2 linked regions of the Alligator mississippiensis genome follow. Each later gene encodes a partner of the first gene's protein in a complex. Links are inferred from orthologs where the notes say so. Each region holds a gene or a part of one and is shown in the gene's direction. Other genes may lie near its edges. The genes, in order: ATF2 and MAPK10.

Evidence for each region.
Region 2: the proteins of ATF2 (region 1) and MAPK10 are in contact, whole or in part, in a crystal structure (PDB 4H36), measured with the Homo sapiens proteins. The link is inferred for Alligator mississippiensis from reciprocal best matches to the Homo sapiens genes ATF2 and MAPK10. Residues at the interface, in NP_001243019.1 of Homo sapiens: Lys48, His49, Met51, Thr52, Leu53, Lys54, Phe55; in NP_620448.1 of Homo sapiens: Asp150, Ala151, Gln155, Met159, Glu164, Arg165, Tyr168, Val197, Lys198, Ser199, Asp200, Cys201, Trp362, Glu367.

Annotation. Positions count from the first base shown.
Region 1 is NC_081827.1:209,822,427-209,830,528, forward strand, and holds the start of ATF2 (cyclic AMP-dependent transcription factor ATF-2), read left to right. Parts: upstream 1-4,899; 5' UTR 4,900-4,997; intron 4,998-8,102. Other genes in the region: ATP5MC3 (ATP synthase F(0) complex subunit C3, mitochondrial), read left to right, coding at 638-752. UniProt on the Homo sapiens protein: Transcriptional activator which regulates the transcription of various genes, including those involved in anti-apoptosis, cell growth, and DNA damage response.
Region 2 is NC_081825.1:149,719,687-149,727,475, reverse strand, and holds the start of MAPK10 (mitogen-activated protein kinase 10), read left to right. Parts: upstream 1-4,577; 5' UTR 4,578-4,615; intron 4,616-7,789. UniProt on the Homo sapiens protein: Serine/threonine-protein kinase involved in various processes such as neuronal proliferation, differentiation, migration and programmed cell death.

The DNA of each region.
Region 1 (8,102 bases):
CTTAAATATTCTCCTTCCCATACTTTCTAGGGAGATACTCTGCATTTTCGTAACAAATGAACCTGATAACGCCATCTTGGCTAGGGAGAGAGTTGAACAGCGTAGCTTGTTTACAAGCTGCTTAAAATATTGCAAAGGTATTCAGGATAGGTCTGGTTGTGCAAATGAACTCCTTCCTGTACTGTACACAAGTGGAATTTAACAAGAAAACCTGAGCTGATATTCCCTACCTGGTGGTTTTCTTTCTCCTGGTGAGCATATTTGACATGAAGCCTACACAGGCTAGGCTTTTTCAGTTGTAATTGAGTGGTGTAAAAATGTTGTGAATTTTTTTAATATAAAAGGGAATTTAGGGTTGTTCTATAATTGGACATTAATTTCAGAATCAAATTTAGTGATATGTAGCTTACATTATCTTAATGTAGTCTTCAATGAAGTGCCTGTAACAGTGATACTAATGTTACCTTTTGTATAGGTGTAGTTTGTCTCTCTTTTTTTGTTTTGTCTGCTATGACACTTTTATAGCGTTCTGTAAAACTTGCATCATAACCACAACTTTTTAAATTTATCAAATGATACTTGAGTTGCATCTTCATAAATATAAAGCATTTAATACCTCTCATGCATTCTCTTTTAGAAACCCTTCTCTGAAGCAGCAGCTGTTCTCATATGCTATCCTGGGATTTGCCCTGTCTGAAGCTATGGGTCTCTTCTGCCTGATGGTTGCTTTCTTAATCCTGTTTGCCATGTGAAGAGAGATCTGCTTGTGATGTTGGCATTAGTAAATTACAAATGTAATTCTGTGCATCTTGCCGGGACTCTCAAAATGTTGGTGTTGTGGAAATGTACATTATTTCCAAAGTCATGTCATTAAAGACTATCTCTAACTGTCTAGCTATGACCTTCATCTTTAATTCGAACACTTTGGATGGAACTGTTAGACACTTGTTTCTGATTTTCCCCTTAACACTGAGTGCTCATATGCTGACCTCCAGCCACACAATGTAGAACAGAACAAAAGTGGTGTTCTCTATTTGGTCACAATGCTGCATGTCACCTTTTTAGTCTAAATGCTGTGTGTCTACCACTTTGGCCTTCAAATCTAAAAGAGATTTCTTAAGTTTATGAAATTTGTAATGACTTCAGATAACACTGAAAGTCCCAAAGAAGGCTCCTAGCTGTTACCAAAACCAGCATTTTCTATTGCTAATCTAACGTCTGATTTAGTGGTTAGTATTGCCATTTTATACATGCTGAGGCTTATTGCACATCTAAGGATCTAAGCAATCTACAAATGACAACATTGCTTCATAGCTGCTACAAAACATGAAGTCAAATTGCTTCAGCGTACAGGCAACAGACAATTTGTTTGTTATGGTGAAGTCAGGGCAATGGTGGAAACTTAACAAGAACAAAAATTCTAGACCCCTTTTTTTGAAATGGGCTCTTTCAGGCTTGGGAGGTTCTTGAACAGTAACTTTGATAATAGCACCAATGTGAAAGAGTTTGATCATATTGCTTTCCTTGCTTAGAACCAGAGGGCCAGATACTTGCAGACTTTCAGAAATGATTGTTTTGAAAGCTCAAAGTATTTGCAGTCACTTGAAGGGTGTAACTTAATGCACATACTGTTCTGCTAACTTTGACCCTCCAAAAACATCTCTTCCTGCCATAATCTAGTCATTCCTGGAGAAAACTACCTGTACAAAGTACACACTAAGTGATGTGTATCATCACATATAAAACACAATTTTCTCTTGGTAGTAAAGCATATAGTTTCCTTTTAATATGGTAGGGGCCTGGGCCTGTATTAAGTTGCATTTGTTTTTCCTTCAATCTTAAATTAATTGGAATGAGTTAAAAACAATCTGCAGGGTTGTGAAATAGCTGCTCCTGCTAATGAAGCTCCTAAGAGAAAGCAGAACAAAGGATAGCTGTCAAGACCATTAAAAAAAGAGTTGTTAACATCTGTTGAATGAAAAGTTTAGAAGGAATCAGGTAGATTATAATAAATCATAAGTCAACTGACTCTCAGCCCTGCCTCAGTGGAAATACTGCTGCCACTAAAGTCAGCTTTAACTTTGGATGGATCCAAATTTCCTCATCCTTTCCTCATTCTTAGTGTTCACTCTCTGCCCTCTTTCTTTCCTGTTCCTTGTTTTCTCCCCATTGCCCTTGAGCATATAGCTACCTTTCCCTTGTCTCAAAATGGCCTAGATTTGAAGGGCATAGTTCATTGTAACTGGTGCTGCAACCCATGTGATAACAACCAGTACCTAACAAGAACACAGTAAGTGTCATACTGGGTTAGGCCAATTATCCATTTAACCCAGTAGCCTGTGTCTGACGGTCACCAAAATGTGTGTGTTGGAACACTGGTTCTCAACTTTTTAGATTTAAGGCACCCCATGTAAGATTTGAGGCATCTCTGCATAACTTTTTTGATTTTATTGGCATCCCACTTCAAAAACTAATTTATTACAGTGCTTACCTCCTTGCAGAGGAGTCAGACAATGGGAATGGTGATGTGGCTATGCAGAGTGATGCCCTTATTTGTTTATCTTCTTACATTTGCAATCTGAGCTTGTCATTACCTGCTTATTTCCTCACACTTTCTGGGGCACCCTTCAAAGGATCTTGTGGCACTCTAGGATGCCCTAGCCCCCTGGTTGACAATCACTGTGTTAAAGGAACAGCACTGAAGTTGGTATATCTAGAACAATCTATCCTATGTGTTACCCTCCTTGGTATCCAGCATCATTGTTTTAAAGATGTTAGAGAATATATCTCTGACTTCTGTTTAAAATAAGATTAATAATTTTAAAACATACTCAATGCCATTCCTTTAGTATTTGGCACTGTGAGGAGGTTTTTTTTAAGCTCTTGGAAGACGGGAAGTATGTAGTTGAAAGACATAAGCTCTCTATTACCTCAGAGTCCAAATCCTTCAAAACTCATTTACAATCAATAATGATTTATTATATAAAGGGCCTGCTTATATAATATGCCCTTTCTCCTAGTATTCCTAATTCTTAAAATAGTTTGAAAAGGACAAATCTGTTGCTTTACCCTCAATACAATTTAAGATATATTCCACGCCCTGGAGTAATGGGGGGGGACAATCTTTTTGACAAGTGTGCCACAAATTAGCCTCACATCTTCCCCAAGTGCTACTTTGCACCCTTTCCCCTCCCTGATCTGCTGCTCTGTTTTCTGTTTCCTGTCCAATCATATAGTTTCATATTTGGTAGGGTCGAAAGGGACCTGAGCAGATCATTAAATCCAACACCCTGCCATGGCAGGAAAAAGTACTTCGTCTAAAAAGGTGCAGGAAAAAGGTGTTCGTCTAACCCCTTAAAGACCCCCAGGGTAGGAGCCAGCACCACTGGAAACTTTGGGGGAAATTTTCCAATGGAAACTTTGGGGGAAATTTCAAAAAACAAAATTATGTAATGGTATTTCATTATTACATTAGATCAAACTCATCTTTTTTTAGACGTGCCAACTGATGTTGCTTATATGGTAGGGGGAGGGGGCATAATGGTACTGATCTCTCCCTTGTGCAGCACTTTGAAATCTACTGATGAGAAACTTGATATAAGATGTACGTTTGCCCAGGGCCCCTTGTCTCTCTCTTGCTTTAAATACATGCACAGCCCCTGCCATGTGGGGAAAGAGATTCTGGACTGAGGGGCACGGGGATCTCTGGTGGGTGGAGCAATTGCAGGTGCAATATTCCAGAAGCCACAAGGAAATCGCAAGCTGTTGTCTTGAGATTGATTGTATTACTGTATCTACCACCCAAAGGGTTTGTCCTAAGTTTTAAATGTATTTTTGTGTTCCTCATAGCTTCCCTATCTGGGGAAAGTAGTTGATGCAATTTGCCAGTGGTAATTGTGTAGATGCCCAGCCCTTGGAAACTTCATTCTATGGAGGGAAATATCATTAATTGGCTGTACAGGTTCAGGAGGCCCAGCAAGACAAAGGTCTGCAAACTAAGCCGTGGCTATAGAAAGGGAGGATAATGTGCACAATGGAACAAGGAGTCTACAAAATTATATGCTGTATCTGCTAGGCAGCTAGGGAGAGGATGGGTAATACCCAACAAGCTTACTCCAGGTATAAACTGTCAATTGTTTTATGTAAAGTTTTCTCTGGCATTGTATTAAACAAATAGGGCAGTACTCTGCTCTGTGAAAGCTGCCTGGTCAGGGGTTGAAGCTGCCGGTGTCCCTGGAAATCTCTGGATTTCCAGGGGCCAAACTGAACTTGGTCACAGGATGGAATTGCCTTAGAACTGCTGGGGGAAGAGGGAAAGGAAGGCAAGTGATGATGGGAGGCCAGAGACCTAAGCTGGGTATCTGGAAAGAGGCCACAAGATTCACAGGTGCAGTTAACACTGGAGAGAAAATACAAAACCTGTGTGATGAGAGAAAAGGGGCACTAGCATAGGTCGAGGGGGAACGGAGGCATAGGGTAGAGAAAGATGCAGCAATCCTTTTGGAGGGAGACGGGAAGGTGGGGATGGCTAGTTAAATAGGAATGGGAGGGTGGGTGATTTTTGGGGGGTGGGAATAAAGGAGCCCCTGCTGTATCTGATGAACTCAACCTCAATCTATCTTTTCAGTACTAAGCCTTAAAGGTTTTTTTGTTTGTTATTTTTAAAAAGCAACGCCTCAAGCACAAAAGGTGCAGTCTTGGTTTCCCATCCACACACTAGCGAGCGCAGTTCCTGCTTAGCTTGCGGCAGCAAACGCGCTGCAGCTCCAGCCACACCCAGTCATTCAGCGCTTCCGGCCACACAGACAAGTCCGGTGTCGCCGCGCGCCCAGCCCCCGCCAGCCAATCGGAGAGGGGCTGGGTTCTCTGCCCATCGCGGTGTCACGTGACCAGCTCCCCTAGCAGCGCTCGGGAGATGTCAGCGAGGTCTCGCGAGATGTGACGGAAGCCTGTGGGGGACCTGGGCTTTAATGTGCGGTTCGGGCCGTGCTCCGGGGGTGAGTTTGTAAACAGAGCGCGGGCCGGGTCGGGCGCGGCAGTGGTGCCTTCGTTCCCGCAGGCGACGGGGAGGCGCGGGCGTTGCAGGGCCCGGTCTGCGGTCGGGGAGCGGCCCCGGGTAGGCGGGGGTGCCCGGGAGGTAGTAATATGGCGCCGCCGCCGCTCTCCGGAGGGGCCCCCTCCCCCACCGCGGGCCCTGCCCCGCCGTCCCCGGGGCAGCGACCGCCCGCGGAGGAGGGTCGCTCGGGGGGGGGCCGGGCCGGGCGAGCCTGTCGCCCCCTACCCGGAAGCGCTGCGGGCCCTGGGGATGGGACGGGCCGGGCCGGGCTTCACCTGCATCCGCCGGGCGGTGGGGGCCTGCGCCCTCCGCGGGAGCCGCCGGGCCGGCCCTGCGGGGGATGCGCCGGTGAGTGTCTTACCTGCCTGGCCCCGACGCCCCGCTACTCTGCGAGGTGTCGCTCTCTTCCGCTCTGCCCGGGGACTTCTTGCAAGAGCTGGGGTCGGCGGCGGGGTGATGACAAGCTGCGGTGCTCCCACGTTGCGGATCTTCCCTCAGGCTTCCTGTGCTGCTGGGCTGGCAAGCTGCGGGGCTGGAGCTGTCACACCTCCTGCCTCCCGTTCCCTTCTTGCCCCAACCTCTTCACCCCCAACCCTGACCCCGAAAGGGACTTGCCCCATTGCACACGGGTGGTTCACTTCTCTGTTCCTCAAGCAGTTCATTCATTTCTGAAATAAAGATATTCTGCTCTTTCTTTGCCCTTCCAGTTAACACACACAAGATTATCTTTGTCCTCTAAATAAATGAGGCTTTTTGGGTGCGGCCTTCGACCTTCCATTAGCCAAATCTTGTTTTTTTCCTTCCCATGCTCCTGTGAATGAATCGTGGCAAGCACCCACTTTATTGCTTCAAGCTATTTGAGTTGAATAAGTTAGGTTGGACTTATCATGTATGTGGCTAATGAAAAATATTGTTGTGATCTGAGTTCTAAATTGTTGTGTTTTAGAGCAGTGATCCTCAACCAGGGCACCATGAGATACTTTTCAAGTTGCCACATACAAGCATGGTTAGATATGCAAGTATCTACAAGTGATTCATAAGCTAAACCTTGAGGTTTTTAAATAAGAATTCGTAGAGCGAGTCCAGCTGTGCATGGAAGTTTGGTAGCGGACCTTGCGCTGCATGCTGCCTGAGCATGTACTGCTTCAAGTTTTTTTCTGGGTTTTTTTGTTTGTTTGTTTTTTTACCCCTGGATATCTAGGGGTCAAAAAAACCCCACAATGAAAAAAAATGGAGCAGCGCACATTCAGGCAGTGCACCCTTGCAGCACAAAGAATGCTGGACTGTATGGTATGTGGTGCTGCAAATGTGCTTGCGGCACCATATACCATATGACTGTGCTCATTTGGATGTACCCATCGTGTCCTAAACGTTTTGGCCTGTTTTGGTCTTTCTCAGTTCTTTGAAATAGAATAATGATTCTGTTTTTCTGGCCTTTTCAAGTAAAGGCTAAGAGCTGACATTTTCAAGGGGTGCTTTGAGTCTAACAAGTTTGAGTGCCACTGCTTTAGAGCATAAATCACTATTTAAATGATGGGATAAGAAAGAAAGCTTCTGTATGGTCATTTTTTCCGTAATTGTTTTCCAGAATATAATATCTTGAACCATTTATTGAAGGATGTTTTGTACAGGTTGTTTAGAGAGACTTACTCACATTTATATGCACTTATGCACCTGCTTAAGGTTACTACTAAGAATAGTCTCATTGATTTTGGTTGAACTAGTCACAGTAGTAAAGCTAAGTACCTATGCGGGTACATAGCATATTACAAAATATAAGGGTCTCGCTGCAACCTGGTCCAAAGAAAACTTTACTGGGGTTCCCTGTTCCATAAAAGTTTATTGGCAAATATGATCATTAATTACAGAAATAACATTAATGAAATAACATTTTTGGAGAAGTGGAGTGAGTCACCATGTTCACTGATGAGTTTATATTTGGGTAGTTAATATTGCACAATAATAGGTCATTATTATAGCCTGATTCAGAGAGCAGTAATATAAACTTCTTGGTGTATTTGTTCTGGATTTTATAGGTGAACTATATCTTCTGAGTACTGTTTCCTACTCAGAAATGCTGTATGATTTGATTATATAAAATCTTTTGGTTGTATTTCCATTTCTACATCTCCGCAGCACATTCTGTGTCTTATAAAGGTTACACTTAGGTAATACTGTATTCTACTGACTTTTGTCATTCAGGTATGATTCAGGTGTGCTTATGCCAAGGTCCTGTTCCATTATAAGACATTAGTCTGTTTTTCTTTGTGTTAATTGCATATGGATACCTAGGCATGGATCCAGAAAGATGCATCTTTCATTCGCACTTGGTGTCGTCTTGGTTTTGATTTTTCTGAGCTCAGCTTGTCCCTACACCACTTTAAAAACATTTAACATGTAAAGTTGCCACAAAAAATTTGCACTGGAACAAGCACTGTGTGGTGTACACAACTCACCTTAAATGTTTGGTCATATTACTTTTACCTGTTTTCCACCACCAATCCTTCCCTGTTGTGGTGACACCCACTTGTTGCATTTTTTTGTAAAGTAGACTCTTAAGTTTTTGTGGGCTAGGACTGCTTTCCTACTTATTTGTACCTCTAGCTCAACAAAACCCAATCTTTACCAGAGATTTTGAATGTTATTCTAGAACTTAATAAATAAGAATGGAAATGATATATATTCTGAAGTACAGACTGTCTTTGTATTAGTGGGATGTTGTTAACCTAGAAATTACAGTTCTTTCAGACATATCTTTATTATTTTCACAGGCAAGATCAAAGATAAATGCAACTAAAATACTAAAGAAATTAGAGGGGTTTTTTTTAGTTTTCTGTTACCAATCTGACAGGTCTTCAAATATAATTAATTCAGTTCCTGCTTTTTCACATAAAAATAAAACAAAAATATGAGTGAAAAGCAGCAAAACAGGACTTGAAAGCAATGGGGTTGTTCCCTCAAACAACTTCTAATTCGTCTTTTTAAAAGTGATTGGATTTCAAACTGTTTGCCTCATAGTTAACTGAAGTACGGATGGGGTATCAAT
Region 2 (7,789 bases), on another chromosome or scaffold:
AAAAGTAAGTGACATAATTATTAAAGTAATGCTTCACTCATACCATTTACTTGTGGTTTTATTTATTTAGCTCTAATGCAGGGCCTGGCTCTGCCATCTTTGCTTAAGCTGAGCTGCATTCTGCTAATAGTCTAGTTCAGGGGTAGCCAACCAACAGCACATGTGTCCCAAGTGGTGCGGGCAACCTTTTTTTTTTGTTTGGCATGTGGAAGACTGGGAAAAGGACATTCAGCACAATGGCATATATGACAGGGAGCAGAAAGCAGAGCACCAGATCAGGCAGGCAAAGGGGATCAGAGTGGCACTCAGGGAGGCTGCAAGGCAAATTTGTGGCACCCCTGCCAAAAAAGGTTGGTCCATTTGGTCCAGTTAAGTCAGTTTAGGTCCTTGCAGAACAAGGACTGTTCAGCATTAAGTGAAAACAGCAGAACAAAGCCCACAGGAAAAATGTTGTAGATTCAATAATAGTACTAGTTTAAAATATCAGATGTGTTTTACTATGGAAGCAAATTAAGTGTCAGAACATCCATATCTAGAATACTGGTGTTCTAGCTCCTTTTTTACATTTTCCTGTTTTCTCTTTCTTTCATTCTTCTTTTTTATAAGTTATTCTTTCCTCTTATTGTAGCTTCCCTGAGCCTTTGTTGGGAAGAGAAGCATATAAATTGAATGAATGAAGAAACAAATAAATAAATATGGACTATCCTTTCCCATATGGATGTCTGCATATATACTTGCCCTGATTTTAGTTACACAAAGAATTGGCACCTTTAAACATGGAAGAACAGCACTGCCATTCCTCATTATGCTTATATAAGCTTCACAGTGTTAGGTGTTTTTTGAAAACTCCAGACATGAGAATCAACAGCTCTAGTTCCTGCATGAAAATCTATTTTTGTTTAAAAAAAAAAAAAAAAAAGTGGGGAGAGGAAGCTCTAGTCCTCCTCCTCCAAGATTGTGGAGAAAAGCTTGAAAACATGAAGCAAGTGTACCCTAAAGCCTCGTACATCAGAGGGCAGTTAAAAAAGCCCCCCACCAATACATTACTACTTTTTTTTTAATTTTTTGTTTTTAACTCAATATCATGATATTTGGAGGCCTTGCTCATGACTTTTATATGCAGGGAATTAGTAAGATTGAAAACATTCCTTAGTGCAATTATAAACGTTAGCTATTACTGACTTATCTGAAAACAGTCCTTGCCAAAAGGTGACTGCCTTAGAGTCTCAGCTTTAGGAAACAATATTGTATTCTATAAATCTAAAAGCATAATAATATATAATCTCCCATTATGGTAGATACTGCTAGTTAGGGTTATGCAAAGCTTCGGTCCCTGATTTGATTTGGCCTGATTTGGTGGCCGAATCTCTGAATCTGAATTGAATCCGGAGACCCTTTTAATCTCTCCGAATCGAACTGGAACCCTCCAAATCAATTCGGAAAGATTCAGCAATTTGGACATAGACACAGTTTTAAATGTATTTTTTCCACATATCACAAGGAACCAGGCGGCTTGTGAATGCTGGGGTAGATGGAGTGCGCTTGGCAGCAGACCCAGAAGTGGACCAGAAGCACTTCTGGGTCACCAGGGAGTGTGCTGGGGGCTCCCCCACACCCTCCCCAGCTCAGTGACTGGTGCCTCCTGGGTCTGGGGGGGCACCTGGAGTCCCCTCGCAGCCAATCGCAGAGCCAGAAAGGCATGGAGGGACCCCACAGCATGCTCCCCAGCGGACCTGGTTCACCGCCGAGCACATGGAGACTGCCGCCCCCACCCCGGCGCGCTCCTGTGGGACACTTCATCTGCCCTAGCATTGCAGCGTTCACAAGCTGCACCTGGTACCTTGAGGTATGTAGAAAAAACATCTAAAGCTGTGTCTATGGCTGAATTGCCTATTCTCTGAATCAGCATCTGAATCTTCAGATTCAGAATTGGCCGAATCGAATCAGGACAGTGGTCCAAATCGAGAAATTGAATTACAGTCCTCAATTTTGGGCTGAATCTGAATTGAATATGGCCCATTTCACCACCCTTACTGCTAGTGTTTTGGTGGTGGAACAGGTTTGGCAGCATCATTAATTTAGGGTAATTGCTGGATTTAAATGTTCAGGTCTAAATACAAAACAATGTGGAATCCACTTAGTTTGGAACTTGGAATAATAGAAAGTTAGGGTTGGAAGGGACCCCAGGAGGTCATCTAGTCTAACCACCTGCTCAGAGCAGGACCATCTGCAACTAGATCATTCCAGCCAAAGCTTTGTGTAATCGGGTTTTGAAAACCTCTAAGGATGGAGCTTCCACCACCTCTCTAGGTAACCTGTTCCAGTATCTTACTACCCTCCCAGTGAGAAAATTCTTAATATCTAACCTAAACTTCCCTTGCTGAAATTAGAGAAGTTGCTCAGCCCATAAACAAAAATTGGAAAGATTCATGAGCTATGGTGAGGTGTTGGGTCAGGACCTTGGTATGTCAGTGCCTCAGTAAGAGGCATGGTTGATGCTCACATAGACATTTCGGAGCTGTCTTTTATTTAGCTACTGTATCTCATGACAGATGACACAGCATGGGTTTCAGCTGCTGAGCAAGTGCCCAGAGTTTTTGTACAGCCCATGCTGCTATGGTTTTGTAGCTATTGGTACCCAAGCTACATAAAATATAAACTAGCCCCGGCATTTCTACATCAGGCGAATGTGCCTCTGATTCCTGTACAGATGTACATTGGGATTCCCTCTTTTCTTTGTCAGCTGGCAAAAGAGGAGGCAAAGGGGGTTACAGTTTTCATACATATAGCATGTAAAAAATCCCAAACTTTATTAAAAGAATGTCATTTAAGTTTCAAAGGGCATGTCTACATGTCACCCTATGGAAACATAGCACCATGCTATTTCACCATACAATGCACTATGACAACGTTGCGATCACATGGGTCTACATATGATCACCTACTATGTCTCCATAGCAGTGCACTCCCCACTTACAGCGTGCTGCTACGGCCACGTAGTGGGAAAATTGAAGCATGTGCCACCCATATGGCACAGTACCTGCCTGTACGGGTGCCATGCTTTAGTAGTTTTTGAAAGGAAGCACTAAAGCACAGCAATGTTGCCATATAGCGACATGTAGATGTGTCCAGTCTAGCACTCAAGTTTGATAATTTGGCCAACCTTATTTCCACCTTCTTCCTCTCTCCTGCCTTAACTATCCTGTGGATTGAATGAAACAAAGGCCCTGTAAGACCTATATAAGCACATAATTACAGGCTATGTTATGGAAAAATTAATACAGGCAACTGTAAATGTGGCATTGGCTAACTTCTGAATGCTTAAGTATACAGCCTTACCTGCTTAGTTTTATTTTTTGTATGAAATTTCTTATGTTTTATTAAATATGTCCTGCTATTTGTCTTTTGACAATCATCCCATCATGCATCACTAGCATGGCTTGCACCTTGAAAGTGCAGCACAACAACCCAGCATTTTGTTGTTTGAGCTACAGGGCAAACTCTGTCAGCTGGATAACAGAAGAAGGCTCTAGTTTCCAGTATCAGGATGTGGCCATGAGCTAGATGTAAGGGTGTAGAGTTAGTGGGAGCCCATTGTGGCCTGCCCATTGCTCACTATTCCCTAGAGTGATGGATAGGATGCTGGAACCATCTCAAAAAGGAATAGCTTGGAGGGCATGGGTGCATTTCAACCTGGCTGTTTGGACCTTTTATCATAGCAGAAGCAGGTCAAGTGTTTCCAGAGTGGTGTGGCTCATTCACTTGAGGTACATCTAATGTTTTCCTAAAAATACAAAATTCCAAGTGGATCTAAGACAGTAAAAGATCTGTGAACTGTATCCCACCAGTTATAACCAGGCATACCAAAATTCTGGAATTTCATGCATCTCTAATCTTAATATCCTGGCATCAGTACCTTCCTAAGAAGTAGTTTATAAGGATAAGATTAAACAATTCCAAATTTTATAAATTGAGACAGATCAATTAATCTCTCCCTCATCTAAAAAAGCCTAAGGGTAATAATAAGATTTCCAAATCATCTGAGGAAGAACAGTAAATTCACATTTGCTCTACATCTTAATAAAATTAGCTTATTGAATAGCATTATAAATATCAGACAAATGTAGAGATATCACAAATCAGTCACCATATTTTAATAGGTATTAAAAATGCAGCTGTGAAGTCTCACGTTTAAATCAGCTTTTCTTAAGACAGAATTTTATTTCAAAGCCCACTGTCTTAAATGGTTGGTTGTTTCTTTCACATAAATCTGAGAATTTGAGATTACTGAAAAAGTCCTAATTTCTTTCCTTATTGTATATTTCTGGGATTTTTACACATAACTGTCTTAGCCATGGAAAATCATTATTTGATGGCAGACTGTCACAGAGCACTGAGGTGCCTTGCTCCCATAGAGGGGAAAACTGCTAGGGAAGAAGCCCTAGAAGGGAATAAGGAGCCCAGCTGTGGGTTGCCAGGGCAACCAGAGAAGGTCAGCTGACCCTAAGGGGCAGGGCCTGGCTCTTATAAAGCCCAGGAGCTGAGGCCAGAGGCAGTTCCCTGCCAGCAGCCAGGAGCTCTCTAAGCCATGATGCGAGGAGAAGCCTAACTGCAGGTACAGCTAATGGCAGCTCTAAGAGGCTTGAGCAAAGTTGTTATAGACAGGCGGCTTATGTTTAAGTTATAGCCAGGAGGCTCGAGTTTGTGTTGCTGTTTGTTACACTGGTGGTGTGGGTGAGGCTATAAGGGGATGGAGGAGGCCTCATAGAGGACTCACAGTGGAGTGTGAGGACCCCGGCGCCAGCGGGTACAGCACACGGGGTGCATAGACCCCAGCCCGAGAGAGGGACGTTTGAGAAGCCCCAGGGCGGGTGTGGTGAGCCCCTGAGAGGGGGCAGCTTTACTGGGAAGCCCAAGGGTGGGCACGGAAAGCCCCAGGAGGGGGCAGCATTGTAGAAAGGCCCCAGAAAAGAGGGCACAGAGTGAGAGGGGGCCGGAGGGAGCCCTAGCACCAGAGGGAGTGTGCAGTAAAGGAAGGAAGGCCCAGGGAGAACAGTAAGGGGCCAAATAGCAAGAGAACTGAGACAACAGCGATTCCCATCAGCGAGGTGTGGACTGCGGTGTAGGGGAGGAAATGGAGCCACAGATAGCGCCCCCTAGCAGCGGGGCAGTATAAGGGCAGCCTCCCGCTAATTAATAGTAATTAATTAAGATCAAGGCATGGCAGGCAAGTAGGCGGGCGGTTGCCCCAGAGACAGGTGTGTGGGCCACATTAAGGGCGGCCCAGAGCAGATACCTGTCACAGACATGGGGCATGTCTCTACATGCAGGGGCATGAGTTGCCCCTGCACAAATAGCAGTGACACCTTTTTGTGCTTCTGCTTTGTGCCCCTGGGCATGCTCCAGCATGTGCCAAAGTGTCCCGGGGCAGGGATGGGGGGAAGTGTGTGCTTAGGGGAACCTAGGGCAAGCACCTGTGAAGGTTCCAGCAGCTTTACCTGGGATCATGGGGGCCTCCTGGGGCAGCAGTGGTGCCAATCCTGCCTCACAGAGGCAGGTGCTGCTGTGTGCACCATACCACATCACTTTTTTTTTTTGGGGGCAATTTTGTTTGTTTGTTTGTTTGTTTATTTTTTGACACCAGGATCTTTGAGGCACTGTAAACTGCATGTGCATGCTCATCTGGATGCACCCATGGAGTTTAGCTGTGAAATTTGTAAGGAAGTAATGATACAAAATGGTGACAGATGACAGAACAAGGAGCAATGGTCTCAAGTTGCAGTAAGGGAAGTTTAGGTTAGATATTAGGAAGAACCTTCTCACTAGGAGGATAGTAAAACACTAGACTAGGTTACCCAGAGAGGCTGTGGACTCTCCATCCTTGGAGGTTTTTAAAACCTAGCTAGACAAAGCTTTGGCTGGAATGATCTGGTTGCAGATGGTCCTGCTTTGAGCAGGGGGTTGGACTAGATGACCTCCTGAGATCCCTTCCAACCCTAATTTTCTATGAAAATACTTGGATGGTAAATAAGTATTTGATGGTATAATATTCTGCCAAAAAACCCAACCTTCATAGAAAGGATATGTGGCATTGTTGATAAATAGTTTATACAAAAGTATAGTGGTTACAGTGTTTTTATTAGAGATGATGAACATGGGAGAAATCCCCAGATTTGAATGCTTCTTCCCTCCTTCTCTTGCCTTTTCCATGGAAATCTCAAAAATTAATATTTTCCAAGTAGTTCAAATTAAGTATAATATGTGAGGGTTTTTTTTATAACATGCACGTGCGCACACACACAATAAGAAATGCATGTGATTTATAAGATATATTTCTTATCTTGTGTTTGTGTAATATATATTATACACACATGCATATATGAAAAGTTAATATTAAGAGTATAATGGAGAAAAAACAAACAATTTTCAAGTTTTTATTGTCTTGTCTTTACATTCAGGCTCTCTAGCTGATGTTGAGTGCTCTCCTATATTTTGATCTGTGTTCTACTTCTCATTTTATCTTGTATTATTACATATTTTGGTTATCTCTTGCAAGCCATCCTGAAGTGATGCATTTCTTTGCAGATTTTTATTTGTTGTTCTTGAAACTTGTGGAGCTATCTTCCAAGACTAATGAACTGAGGTTGTCTGGGGTCTATTTTTTTTTTTTTAAATCAGCGTGCACTTTCAAAGCTTTGTTTGTATATAATTGTATTAGCAACTAAAATATCTCTATATGTAAGGGTACCTAGAAATGTATTCATAGTGATTCACTTGGTTCTAAAACCAAGAAGTCAGGGTTTTTTAAATAGATAATTAGGATTGGAAGGGACTTCAGGAGGTCATCTAGTCCAACCCCCTGCTCAAACCAGGAGTATCCCCAACTAGATCATCCCAGCCAAGGCTATGTCAAGCCAGGTTTTAAAAATCTCCAAGAATGGAGATTCCACAACTGATCTGGGTAATCTGTTCCATGCTTTACTACCCTCCCAGTGAGAAACATTTTCCTAATATCTAACCTAAACTTCCCTTACTGCATCTTGAGACCATTGCTTCTTGTTCTCTCATCTGCCAGCACCTGAGAACAGTCTAGCTCCATCTTCTTTAGAATCACCCTTCAGGTAGTTTGAAGGTTGATATTAAATCCCACCTCAAACTTCTCCTTTTTAGATTAAATAAGCATAGTGACCTCAGCCTCTTCTCAGAATGGTTAGACTCCAGCCCCCCAACCATTTTTGTTGCCCTCCACTGAACTCTCCAATTAGTCCACATCCTTTCTGTAGGGGAGCAGGGGGGCCAAAACTGGATACAGTACTCCAGATGGTCCTCACCAGTGCTGAATACAGGGGGGGGGGGGGGGGGAGATCACTTCCCTGAATCTACTGGCAATGCTCCTACCAATGCATCCCAGTATGTCATTAGCCTTCTTTGCAACAAGGACACACTTTTGGCTCATATTCAGCTTACTGATCACTGTAACCCCCAGGTCTTTTTCTGCAGAGCTGCTGCCCAGCCAGTTTGTTCACAGTCTGTACCAGTATATGGGATTGTTCAGTCCTAAGTGCAAGACTTTGCACTTGTCCTTATTGAACTTAATGAGATTTCTATTGGTCCAATCCTCCACTTTGTTGAGGTCTCTCTGAATCCTAGCCCTGCTGTCCACGGGATCTACTACTCCCCTTAGCTTGGTATCATCCACAAACTTGCTGAGGGTGCACTCCATCCCGTCTTCCAGACTGATGAAGATATTTAACAAGACAGGACCCAGGAACAACCCCTGGGCCACTCC